3 linked regions of the Zea mays genome follow. Each later gene encodes a partner of the first gene's protein in a complex. Links are inferred from orthologs where the notes say so. Each region holds a gene or a part of one and is shown in the gene's direction. Other genes may lie near its edges.

Region 1 (3,749 bases):
TCGTGACAACCTATAGCCGATGTATTACGCGTGTTTCCCCCTAATTCTACCTCGTGTGATGGAAAATTTACAATGCTAGATTTGTCAAATGCACGCGCTAATCTCCTATAGTCGTTTTGCATACCGCCTATAATATTTTGCATTTGTTCACGCTGTTCATCTACATAATTCTTAAGAGATTGTAGTTCGTTTGTATTACTTACATTGGGGATATCTGGCGTGGGTCACAGTGAAGCCGGATCCGTCGCCCGATGTCGAACGACTTTGTTGTTCCTGTCCACTTTGAAGTTGGCCAAGAACCTTGCTTTTGCCTCCTGGATCATCTGCTCCTTATGCTCCTCGAACTGGAGCTGTTCGTCAGCCGGCAAGGTTTCCCAAGTCGGCTCTATGATGTTGCTTGGAGAGACTTCAGAACTATCCCTCGAACCGGCTATTGAGGGCCGATTTGATAGGTCTAAATATGTCTTCCCCAGCGGAGTCGCCAAAAAGTATGTTGACGCCTTTTTGGAGCGCCAAACACTTCAACAAGAACCGTGGCGGTGCCCTCTGCACAGGGGCGGACGGTCCGCGCGCAGGGGACGGACGGTCCGCGGCCTGGTGCGAGGCGCGGCGGTGCTCTCTGGTCAGGTGCGGACGGTCCGCGGCCTAGGGCTGGACGGTCTGCGACCTAGGGCCAGACGGTCTGCGACCTGGCGCAGGGGCTAGGGTCTCCTGCCTGACGGTCGGACGGTCCGCACCCTGGGGTCGGACGGTCCGCGCGTGCGCAGGGGCGGCGGAAGATCGCCGGCGGCGCCTGGATCTCGCTTCTGGGAGGGACCCCGTCGGGGAGAAGAGATCCTAGGAGTTGTCTAGGCTCGGGCCGGCCGACCTAGACTTCTCTAATCGACGTAGAGTCGAAGAGAGGCGAAGAATTTAGGGATCGAGAAGCTAAACTAGAACTACTTCTAATTGTACTAGAAATAAATGCGAATAGAAGTTGTATTGATTCGATTGATGATGATTAATCGGCCGTAATCCTCTGTTTTTATAGAGGAGGGGGCTGGACCCGTTACCAACAAAACTCCGAGCAAATCCCGCGATTTTCGCCAACAAACGCAGTGAAAAACTCGGAACCCTAATCTATTCTGCGCGTGCGCGGACCGTCCGGCCCACAGGCGCGGACCGTCCGGACCGCGGACCGTCCGGTCTCAGAGCCGGACTGTCCGCACCTCAATTTGGTGCCCAACAATATGATAATTTTGGTCACTTTTGTTATATAGAAAGTTTAAACTAAATACTTATTGCGCTGTTGTGGTGCTAGTTGGTTATATATTTATATTAAATTAGGTAAAACGGGCTATCTGAATCTGAACACAAAAAATTCGAATACTCGAAAATTTGAGTACCCAATATATAAAGTTTATGTTGAGATATCATTTCTAGATATTCGAAATTTAAAAAGCTCGAAAAGCTCGACCCAAATTTTGGGCTAAGGTGAATGCCCAGATCTACGGACTACCAAGATGTGGATACCCGTGTTAAAAAAGCGTGAACTGTACAGTACTATCATTTCCACGGAGCCTTCCGGATAGGATTTGTCTCCCCTCCACTGCGCCTCTCCGTTTCCGCCATGGCTCCGGCCGCCGCCTTCCTGTCGGCGTGCGCCGCTGGTTCCATTCCCCGTGCGCCCTTCCTGATCCCGAGGCCTCTTCTTCTCCCAATTCCGCTCTCCCCTGCGCGCTGGGACCGCTCCCGCAGCTGCAGCCTCTTTGGCGTAGGCGCCAACACTCGCCGCGCGCCAACCCTTCGACGGAACGCCTCCACGGAGACGGTGGTTCCCTACGTGCCGGGCTCTGGCAAGTACATAGCGCCGGACTACCTCGTGGTACGCAGCACGGTTCACTGGATCGCAAATCTTTCTGCTCCTCGGCAGTCGGTGAGTTCGAGTCTGAGCGGTGCTTTGCATTACTCGTGGTTGCAGAAGAAGGTGTCAGCCGAGGAGGTGCAGGAGCTGGTGAGGGGGCAGAGGAAGGTGCCGCTCATCGTTGACTTCTACGCGACCTGGTGCGGGCCCTGTGTTCAGATGGCGCAGGACATCGAGATGGTGAGCCACCCTCCCTGCCAGTTTTCCATCATTTGGTTTGCCTGTGTGACTTTTGATATCTTGGCCAACACAATGCCTGTCTGTGAAGTTGCAATCAATGGGAGTTATGGGACCAGTGGTATAAACGAGTTCTATGTGCCTCGTCAGTGACACCTTCAGCGGCAACCATGCTTTGAAATGGAAAGGAATGCAGTACACAGCTATGCTTTGCATAGGTTCTGCTGGATTAAGCAATATGTGAAGCTTCTGAGTATATTTAAATACTTTCATTGGGCGATTTAGTCTAGATTAATATCAGACTATATTATTTTAGAGGAATTTAGACAGCTTGGTAGCTGGTGTAGTCTGGTATAGGACAAGTTGACAAGGCCTACGAGAGGAATTTAGAATTTGGACAGTTTAGAATTTTCATGCGAAATGAAAAAAAAATATTTTCTGAAAATAATAAAAGACTTCCCCTAGCAAATATTAGTATCTTTAGCAATTAGTGATTCTTCTTTTGTTTCTTTTGAAAACAATGTGAAAAGATGACCAAGAAGAAAAAATCTTGTTGAAAACCACTTTTGGATTTCTAGCTTTTATTAAATCATAGTCAATCACTTGAGATTCTGTTTAACTATTGCCGGTATCTTGAATCTTGGAGCTGTTCGCACTTACGTGTGCTCCCTTTTTTCAGGACAAGAAGATTATCTAATTGCTCTTTCTATGTTGATACATCATGTAGTATCTCTAATAAGTCCTTTCAATGTATTGCAGCTTGCAGTTGAGTATGAGGACAATGCCCTGTTTGTGAAGGTGGACACAGATGATGAATATGAATTTGCAAAAGACATGCAGGTACAACCAAAATGGCACTCATTGAAGCGAACAATGTGTTGATTACATTCTTATTTAGGGTTCTTTTTTTTCCTTCAATTTTTGAAGTCACTAATGCTGAAGCTTTCAGGTAAGAGGGCTTCCGACCCTTTACTTCTTCAGTCCAGACCAAAACAAAGATGCCATACGCACCGAGGGGCTAATTCCTATGGATATGATCAGAAACATCATTGACAACGAGTTATGACAGCTGATAGATCACTGTATTAGGAACATAGGCAATGTTTTATCTTTGTAGCAGAAAATTTTTTGTCATGAGGCTAAGCATTACCGCTAGGTGCTAGTTTGTGTGCTTGATGTTTTCTTTTGCTCCAATGGTAGGTTTCATCTGTGCAAATCCATTCTGCTGTTTCTGTATCGTGTTGTTTATTCTCATCAAACTCTAGGTTGTGTCGTGCTGTTGTCGGTTAGGCCTGTGTGACCATTTTCATCCCTCGAATGATAAGATGGCTTTGGCTCAGATTGGTCCTCAAATTATGATAGAACCAATTTGGTCCTTGAGGTGGCATTCTGGGCTTAAATTTTGTCGAGAACATGGGATGACTTCTGCTTGCAAGGAATGGGAGCAGACAATTCGATTCTCGCATGGATGGTTTAAGGGAAGGTAATTAATGGTGCAATGGATATAAGAAACTAATAGGCTGTTTGGTTTGAGGAATGAGCTAGTCCATCATCTTCCCACTCCTCACTTTTTTGTTTCGTTTGTGGAATGAAATGAGTTGATCCATCATCACCTCGTTCCTTATAGTTAGTTGTGTTAGTACTAATATGAGGAATATGCTCATTCCAC
Region 2 (3,749 bases), on another chromosome or scaffold:
CGAAGCGCACCGATGATGTCGTCCGAGTCACAGTCAGTACCAACGTCTTCTCCTTCCCCACGGTACGATGCACCTACACGATGGATGGGTGGTTGGTATCGACCAGCGAGCTCCAATACTAATAGAGTGTTTGGTTTGAGGAATCACTCTATCCAAATTAAAGTGGTGCATCATGGGTTCATTCCTCAGAGTTGGTGGGATGACTCTATTACTCATATTAGTACTAACTAACTAACTATAAGAAATGAGATGTTGATGGATCAACGCATTCTATTCCACAAACCAAACAAAAATAGTGAGGAGTTAGAAGATGATGGACTAGCTCATTTCTCAAACCAAACACCCCATAATTGAATCAGTCGATCATTCGGTGGGGCTACAAACCGGCCAATTCAATCAGTATCGACCGCGTTAGAACCAGATTGACCGTCAGTTAATATAGATCCGTGCGTTTGAGACATGGACGTTGCCGATCTTGACTGACTGGTACTGGCCACCTGTTGCTATATGGCAGTTTCTGATTGGTTTGTGTTATTTTGAATTTAGAAAATAAAAAATGGAAACAGACGAATAGAGACAAAGTGTTAATTGCATTCACATCTCTCACTCTCCAAATTGCTCTTACCACTCCACTTTATATTGCACTTCTTACTCGTTTCACTCCTGGCCACCAAATCCTACTTCGAATTGGTGCAACAGGAAAAATGGCTAATGGACTCCTCAGATTATCTAGAAGCCGATTGTTCCGGGGTGTCCAAATGACCTAATAGGTCCTGAATTTGTATATTAGTATCAATTAAATAGAGTAGTTAGAGTGCCTACCGTTGGACTATAAAATGTAAGAAAGACATACGTTCTAAACAACATGTGTTCCTCATCCTTGGTGCGTCGCCACCCGTTTTTAGAGTATTTTTCCAAAGTAATACTGCCCTGATATGATCTCTAATAGATCGTATTGTACATTGCCCCGTCTTGTTTTGGTACATCTTGTACTAATCGTTGTTGTTGACAAAATTTGTTAGTTATCATGTGTAGTACCAATATAACAATATGCTATTTTATTTAAACTTTTTGTTATAGATTACATGACTATATGTATATCACTTGTTCGATTGCTATACATTTCATGATGTGTGACTGTAACACGTGTATACAATAAATCGATAGTCCGAAATATATCTGACATCTTATCTAACATGTCTTATTCACGCCGTCGGTTAGGGATAGACCTCCTTTGAGATCGTGATTCATGTTCGTGTGTATGAGCACCTGTTTATAGTTACGGATGTTTTTAAGGATGTTTTAGGGTCGTCGATACAATACATACTTGCATGTTGTAGATCGGGATCCGGGATGTTCCATTTGGACAATTTTCCTTTTGCGGGCGCAAACCCGACATCCTTAACGGTTGCTAAAACCCTTATCGGATCACATTGACACTCTCCTGGATAGTGGATAGAGTCGAGTCCAGCGCTCGCTGCGCTCGTCGCCGCGCCCCTCACCTCGAGCAAAGAGGAGCGACAATGGCCATGGCCGCCCCCGCTTTCCTCCTGCCATCACTGTTCCCCAAGCCCACTCTCCTCGCCGCGTCCCTCCACTCCAGCTTCCCACGCGGCCTCTCCCTCCGCTGCTCGCCCAACGGCGCCGCCGTGCCGGAATTCCCTGAACCTGCCTCGCGCCGCGGCCGCAAAAAGTCACCGTCCCCGTCGGCGCCGAAGCCGAGGGCTACGAGGAGGAGAACCAAGAAGGCGGACCGGGATCCCGACTCGGAGGGCGAGGAGGAGCCGGTGAAGCGGACCAACCGCCGGACGAGGAAGTCCAAGGGAGAGGCTAAACAGGAGGAGGTGGCCCAGGCGGCGAATCACGGGACGGGGGATACGATTCAAAAGGCCAACGAAGAGGAGGATGCGGTGGAAGTGGGTAGCGACGACGACGATTTCGCGAACGAGTGGCCGCCGCTGGTGTGCTGCTTCGGCGCGCCGCGGTGGGAGTTCGTACCCACGGTGCGGGTGTCGGACCGCCAGATGCATCCCGACATGTACTCCACGTGGAGGCACCTGCAATGGGAACCGCCCGAGTTCGCGCGCGCGCCGGGGAGCGCGGCGAGCAACGTGGCGATTGCGCTCACCCGGCTCGGCGGGCGCGCCGCAGTGCTGGGCAAGGTCGGCGACGACGACTTCGGCCGCGAGCTTGTGTACCGCATGAACTGCGAGCGGGTGCAGACACGTGCCATAAAGTTCGACGACAAAGCGGTCACCGCCACGGCGCGCATGAAGGTGAGCTTCCGGGACCGGGAGGACGGCAAGGGCGGGACGAAACTTGTAGCCGAGACGGTGAAGAGTGCCGCCGAGGACTCCCTCCGCAGGACTGAGATCAATGTAGACGTGTTGAAAGAGGTGAGTTGGCAATTCCTTGGGTAAACGTTGGATTCCGAATTTCCGGTTCAAGATTTATGCTCGAGTAGTCATTTCACGGCAAGCTATGTCTTTATGTGCATAACAACACGGTGCACTTTTGCAGAACAATTGCATCAAATGAATTCCTTGCTGAAATATAAAATTGGTTTGATCTAGCAGCACCAGCATAGCTATGGCACTTGATCTCATAGTGCAGTTTAAGAGATGAGTTGACATCTGAATCAGTCTTCTGGAATCTAAGATAGCAGCGGATTATGGACTGTAAAAATTATCAGTATTTGTATTTAGAAAATAGATAAAATTGTTATAGCAGTCCATGAAAATCAGAGGTTATACTGCATTATCTAAAGTTTCCAGCTCTGAAGAAACTAACTTTCTTCATAATAAATTTGTCTCTGAGGTTTATTTCTCCACAGCTTTAATATTATGTTTAAACCACTATAGCTTTCACGATCACGATGATATCATCTTCCAAACTGTTTCAAGTAAGCATGTGAATGATGCCGTCAGAATTAATAACTTTGCAGATAAAATGTTTAGCATAATTGCACTGTTCAGGTTCACATGCCGGCGACAAGATTTTTAGAGGAGACATTTTGATGAGTTAGATGTAGTCATTGCTATTACATTGCAAAACATTTTTTTCTTTATTCAGATCTAATCTGTGGCAATTACACAGGCTAGAATGTTCCATTTCAATTCAGAAGTCCTGCTAAACCCCTCAATGCATGACACGCTCTTCAGAGCCATTGAGCTGTCCAAGAAATTTGGAAGCAAAGTTTTCTTCGATCTCAATTTGCCATTGCCATTGTGGACTTCCAAGGATAAAACAAAGGAGGTGATAAACAGGGCGTGGAAAGAGGCTGAAATCATAGAGGTGTCAAGGGATGAGCTGGAATTCCTCCTAGATCATGAGTACTATGAATACAAGAGAAACACCCCTCCTCAGTATTATCTTGAAGGATTTCATTTTACAAGAAACTGGCCACAGTACTACCACTACAGCCCTGAAGAGATCGCTCCTATTTGGCATGACGGTATAAAGATCTTGCTTGTGACGTATGGGACACTTCGGATCCACTATTACACACCTAAGTTTCATGGCTGTGTGGTTGGGACAGAGGATGCACTCATAACTCCATACACCACTGACCGAACAGGTTCAGGGGATGCTATTGTGGCTGCTGCTATTAGGAAGCTGACAACTTGTCCTGAAATGTATGAAGACCAGGATACATTGGAGAGGCAACTGAGATTTGCTGTTGCCGCTGGAATCATATCACAATGGACAATTGGTGCTGTGCGAGGATTTCCCACTGAGAGTGCCACCCA
Region 3 (3,749 bases), about 31 Mb from region 1:
GGCAAACATATGCACACAAGTCAGAGTGTACATCCATCTTATTCACTAACAAGAGATAGTTTATTTGAAAAATGAAATAGCAATATCATACTAATGGACAAGTGCAAAAGTCTCTGAAAGAGAGAAAAAAACAAGGGCAAAAGCTTAAGGCTTTGGTTCAAAAAAACATCCCCATCTTTTATTTGCTTCAACAATGCATCACAAACCTTTGTATATCAACATCAAATCTACCATTGCATGTGGGATTGACACACTCACACACATCCCACCTTGAAATCCTTTTTCCTGGATGGTTCAAGTAACATACTAGTACATGTGAAGCAATAATGCTCCCTTGACAATTCTCCCTTCTGATGGATGACACACCAGAAAGAAGCTGAGGGTTCTGTTAAGAATATTTAGAAGGGTCAACAATATTCTCAACGAAGGAATCTCTGCCAGTTCCATTAAGCCATAAAATTGAGTTAAATCTTCCCTTCAAGCTTAGTGTGATGTTCTTGTTTAGCTCTGCTTGATTCCTTTTTTCCTGTACAGTTTTTTTTGGGTTCTTATTCTTCTCTGTTAATAGAAGAGATCTCCAACTGTTCTGTTCAAAAAGTTCTCTGCCAGTTCCATGTAAGACACTTGAGTATTGCTCAGAGGCTATATAAACCCAGATTGTAGCCTATGCAATGTGAATAGATCCCCTGCCATGTACACACAATGTGAGAAACAGAGGTTAAGGCACCTGCGAGATACATCATTCACTATATATGCTCCTCGATTTACAGTTTCACCTGCACTTCTGCATATAATTGTATTCATGGATAAGCTTCTTTCTATCTCAAGTATCTTTAACGACTGCACCCAGCACAGGAATCAACCTTTGAAGCTCTTCCTCCTCTGAGAGCCTTGTTGCAAAATGGCACGTGGATCGAGTGCCAATGCCAACTGTATCTGCATGTTCAGATGTTAGCAATTTGACCTCAGAAAAACAGCATCCACTCAAGAATTTCCACCTGTCACTAAAGATATCTGGCTTCAGATTATGTCTATGAGGCCATGACCCACAGGCAACACTATTATTAGGCCTTCTTTTATGATCAAACAAAGGCTCTCCATGAAGGTTCTTCCACAGTTTAAAGTGCACATTTCAGCATATTGAGAGAATGCCAACTTTGCATTGATCCAAGGATCAAGAGATCCTAGAAGATCCATCAAAAGGAGCTAGAAAAAAAAATGCTCTCTCATATTTCCGTTCGTTTGATGCTTATCATAAAATATCACATCCAGATCAACTGGTCTGGGACTATATCTTCATCAGTTTGGCATAAATCGTAATCATGTCGTCCAAGCTTGGTTGTCCATCTTACAACAGAATATATGAACAGTGGTTGATCAGGTGCTGTACTGATTGTGTATCATCCACGTTGCTCCCTAAAGCAACGACAATCTCTTGCCCTTGGGAGCTTGCAAAGACATAGGATTCCACAGATGAATGGTGCCTCGGGAAATGCACGCCCGCCCTTGTTAAGGACCCAACAAGCTCGGTACTGCCAACATGAGAGGAAAATTAGCAAACTGTTTTATATCAGAATGAGCATTTGAAGCTAAACAATCCTTTGAAACGGAAATCTGAAGTAGAGTAGCTTCATTTCCACATCTGTAGCACTGTGGCAGTAGACATGAGGAGACCAAGAGCAGGGGGGAAGATAGGATTCCAACAGAGCAACAGTGGCCGGTGCTGGAAATTGAAAAGTCGGAGCCGGACAAGTATGGCGGAACCACTGTGACCTCGAGGCGAGAATACGACAGGATTCTTTTCGGTAAACAACAACGACAACAATAACCGCTAAAACTAGTTGGGAAAAATGGTGGCAAGCAGCATAGGAATCAAGGGTTCTACAACAAATGTCAGCATGGATGTGAGAAGATACAACTCGATGCCATTCCATTATACGGGGGAAGAAGAAGAGATCGGTACCTCCCGAGCGAAAAAAATTGGACTGGGGAAGTGCGGAGGAGGCCCGATTTCATTTGATTTGAGGCGGCGCAGGCACAGAGGAGAGCGCTGCGCCATGCGCCGACTGGGGAGGAAAACAACAGGTTACGCGAACAGAATAAGAAAGCGAATTAATGGAATACGCCTTTTCTGGTATGACGTTTCTACCCCTTATCCTCATAACTATGGGCCAAAGTGTAATTTGCTCCGGCCAAATCTCCGTTCCCCTCCTTGTCCCCTGGGGTTTTGCTGTTCCTCGTTGCTGAGCAGTGATTGGAGGGGCTACCGGGATTTTTGCTACTTGCCTCCATTGATGGCTTATCTTCTTCTCCATCCTCAGTTCACTTGCTCCCAGCCCCCTTCTCATCGATTGAGGTAATCTCTCAACATAGTGAATCCGTTGCTGTATATCCCAATTATCAATGCGAGTCCGCGTGAAACATGCCGTTTCCCCCCGTATGGTCGCTGCAGTCTGTGGTGCGATAGAGGAGATTAGGAGCCAGAATTGTGTCTTTGTTCATTCTGGGACTAGAAATGCGGCTCTGTCCTGTGATTCATGGACCTGGATATTGTCTGGTCAAGTCATTTGGATTGTGTTGTGCGCAGGGGTCAAATACATTACAAGACAAACAATATGGGGAAGAACATGGCTAAATCTACAGTGAGTTTGCTTAACCGCAGTGCTAATTTTGCATCAAGGACTTCACAAGATGCCGTGGATGGGTTAAGCGATGAAAGTGACGGTGAAACCTCAACAAAAAAGAAGAGAACCCCAAGACGTGGAAGAAAGAAAGCCACCGTTGAAACATCGAGAGATGTAGGAGAAGAAATCGAAGTCATCACTGAACAAACGGCCGCTGAAGAGACTAAGGAAGTTAAGAGGAGAGGCCGCAAGAAAGGTAAATACCTACATATTGGTTGCATTTTTGCAGCACTTCTGTTTCTATATGCTGCGGTTTTCATAATTTTTCTCGACTGGGAACAGCTTAGCAAGTCACAATTTTTCTCTGTTCTGTCTATTCTGTTACAGCTGCTACTTCTGCAAGCTCAGAAGAGGAGAAGGATAAGGCCAAGGAACCGAAGAAGAGGGGACGTAGAAAAGTTAAGACTGTAGAGGAACCTATTGATAATGCTGGAGAGCATCTGAGCAAAGATTTGATGCTCTATAATGAAAGAGAAGATCAGACTCGTCTACAGAATTCTGCCAGTGTTCTGGAAAGTAAAATAGCGTCAGTGCTACATGAGGATATTGGAGAGGTTGACGATTTAATTCCGCTCGTGTGCTGCTTTGGACCTGCCAAATACTCCTTTATTCCTTCTGGAAGACCAGCAAATAGGTTGATAGACCATGAGATTCATGATAGAATGAAGGACATGTTTTGGTCTCCAGACAAATTTGTGAGGGCACCAGGAGGGTCTTCATCCAATGTTGCTCTAGCTTTAGCAGCGATTGGTGGAAGGGTTGCATTCATGGGAAAATTAGGTGATGATGACTACGGTCAAAGTTTGCTGTATCACTTAAACATCAATGGAGTTCAAACTCGAGCAGTTTATATGGACCCTTCAGCACCAACTGCTGTGTCTTTGATGAAGGTCAGAACCGAAGGAAGTCTGAAGACAAACTGTGTTAAACCTTGTGCTGAGGATTGTTTCCTGCCGTCTGATATCAACCCGGCAGTTCTAAAAGAGGTAAATATCAAACCATCATCAAATTTAAATCCTGTGATATCATATCCTATGTATAATACTTTATGTTTTAGATGCTCTG

The links.
Region 2: the proteins of Thioredoxin-like protein CITRX, chloroplastic (region 1) and Fructokinase-like 1, chloroplastic-like are in contact, whole or in part, in a cryo-EM structure (PDB 8XZV), measured with the Spinacia oleracea proteins. The link is inferred for Zea mays from reciprocal best matches to the Arabidopsis thaliana genes TRX z and FLN1. Residues at the interface, in XP_021862427.2 of Spinacia oleracea: Tyr73, Val75, Lys77, Ile83, Thr84, Val87, Arg88, Tyr100, Ala101, Thr102, Trp103, Cys104, Gly105, Pro106, Cys107, Ile108, Ala111, Gln112, Lys129, Asp131, Thr132, Asp133, Asp134, Tyr136, Phe138, Arg140, Asp141, Met142, Gln143, Val144; in XP_021865197.1 of Spinacia oleracea: Gln111, Lys112, Glu113, Phe114, Val115, Pro116, Ser117, Val118, Arg119, Val120, Ser121, His123, Gln124, Met125, Asp126, Pro127, Asp128, Ile129, Tyr130, Trp133, Met136, Gln137, Pro141, Phe143, Asp175, Phe176, Lys201, Ala203, Cys204, Ser205.
Region 3: the proteins of Thioredoxin-like protein CITRX, chloroplastic (region 1) and fructokinase-like 2, chloroplastic are in contact, whole or in part, in a cryo-EM structure (PDB 8XZV), measured with the Spinacia oleracea proteins. The link is inferred for Zea mays from reciprocal best matches to the Arabidopsis thaliana genes TRX z and FLN2. Residues at the interface, in XP_021862427.2 of Spinacia oleracea: Tyr73, Lys77, Ile83, Thr84, Val87, Arg88, Phe99, Tyr100, Thr102, Trp103, Gly105, Pro106, Ile108, Leu109, Gln112, Asp131, Asp133, Tyr136, Phe138, Ala139, Arg140, Asp141, Met142, Gln143, Val144, Arg145, Gly146, Leu147, Pro148, Tyr151; in XP_021858068.1 of Spinacia oleracea: Gln218, His219, Ala220, Phe221, Val222, Pro223, Ser224, Gly225, Arg226, Pro227, Ala228, Arg230, Leu231, Ile232, His234, Gln235, Ile236, His237, Leu240, Lys241, Ala243, Phe250, Ile251, Asp282, Tyr283, Thr286, Trp308, Ala310, Met311, Ser312.

What each region holds. Positions count from the first base shown.
Region 1 is NC_050096.1:224,701,585-224,705,333, forward strand, and holds Thioredoxin-like protein CITRX, chloroplastic, read left to right. Parts: upstream 1-1,534; 5' UTR 1,535-1,609; coding exon 1,610-1,864; intron 1,865-1,960; coding exon 1,961-2,083; intron 2,084-2,839; coding exon 2,840-2,920; intron 2,921-3,029; coding exon 3,030-3,146; 3' UTR 3,147-3,579; downstream 3,580-3,749. UniProt on the Arabidopsis thaliana protein: Thiol-disulfide oxidoreductase that plays a role in proper chloroplast development, most likely through regulating plastid-encoded polymerase (PEP) dependent chloroplast transcription.
Region 2 is NC_050098.1:184,110,188-184,113,936, reverse strand, and holds the start of Fructokinase-like 1, chloroplastic-like, read left to right. Parts: upstream 1-1,482; 5' UTR 1,483-1,523; coding exon 1,524-2,396; intron 2,397-3,096; coding exon 3,097-3,749. UniProt on the Arabidopsis thaliana protein: Required for proper chloroplast development, most likely through regulating plastid-encoded polymerase (PEP) dependent chloroplast transcription.
Region 3 is NC_050096.1:255,229,394-255,233,142, forward strand, and holds the start of fructokinase-like 2, chloroplastic, read left to right. Parts: upstream 1-1,530; 5' UTR 1,531-1,850; coding exon 1,851-2,356; intron 2,357-2,587; coding exon 2,588-2,880; intron 2,881-3,011; coding exon 3,012-3,670; intron 3,671-3,749. UniProt on the Arabidopsis thaliana protein: Required for proper chloroplast development, most likely through regulating plastid-encoded polymerase (PEP) dependent chloroplast transcription.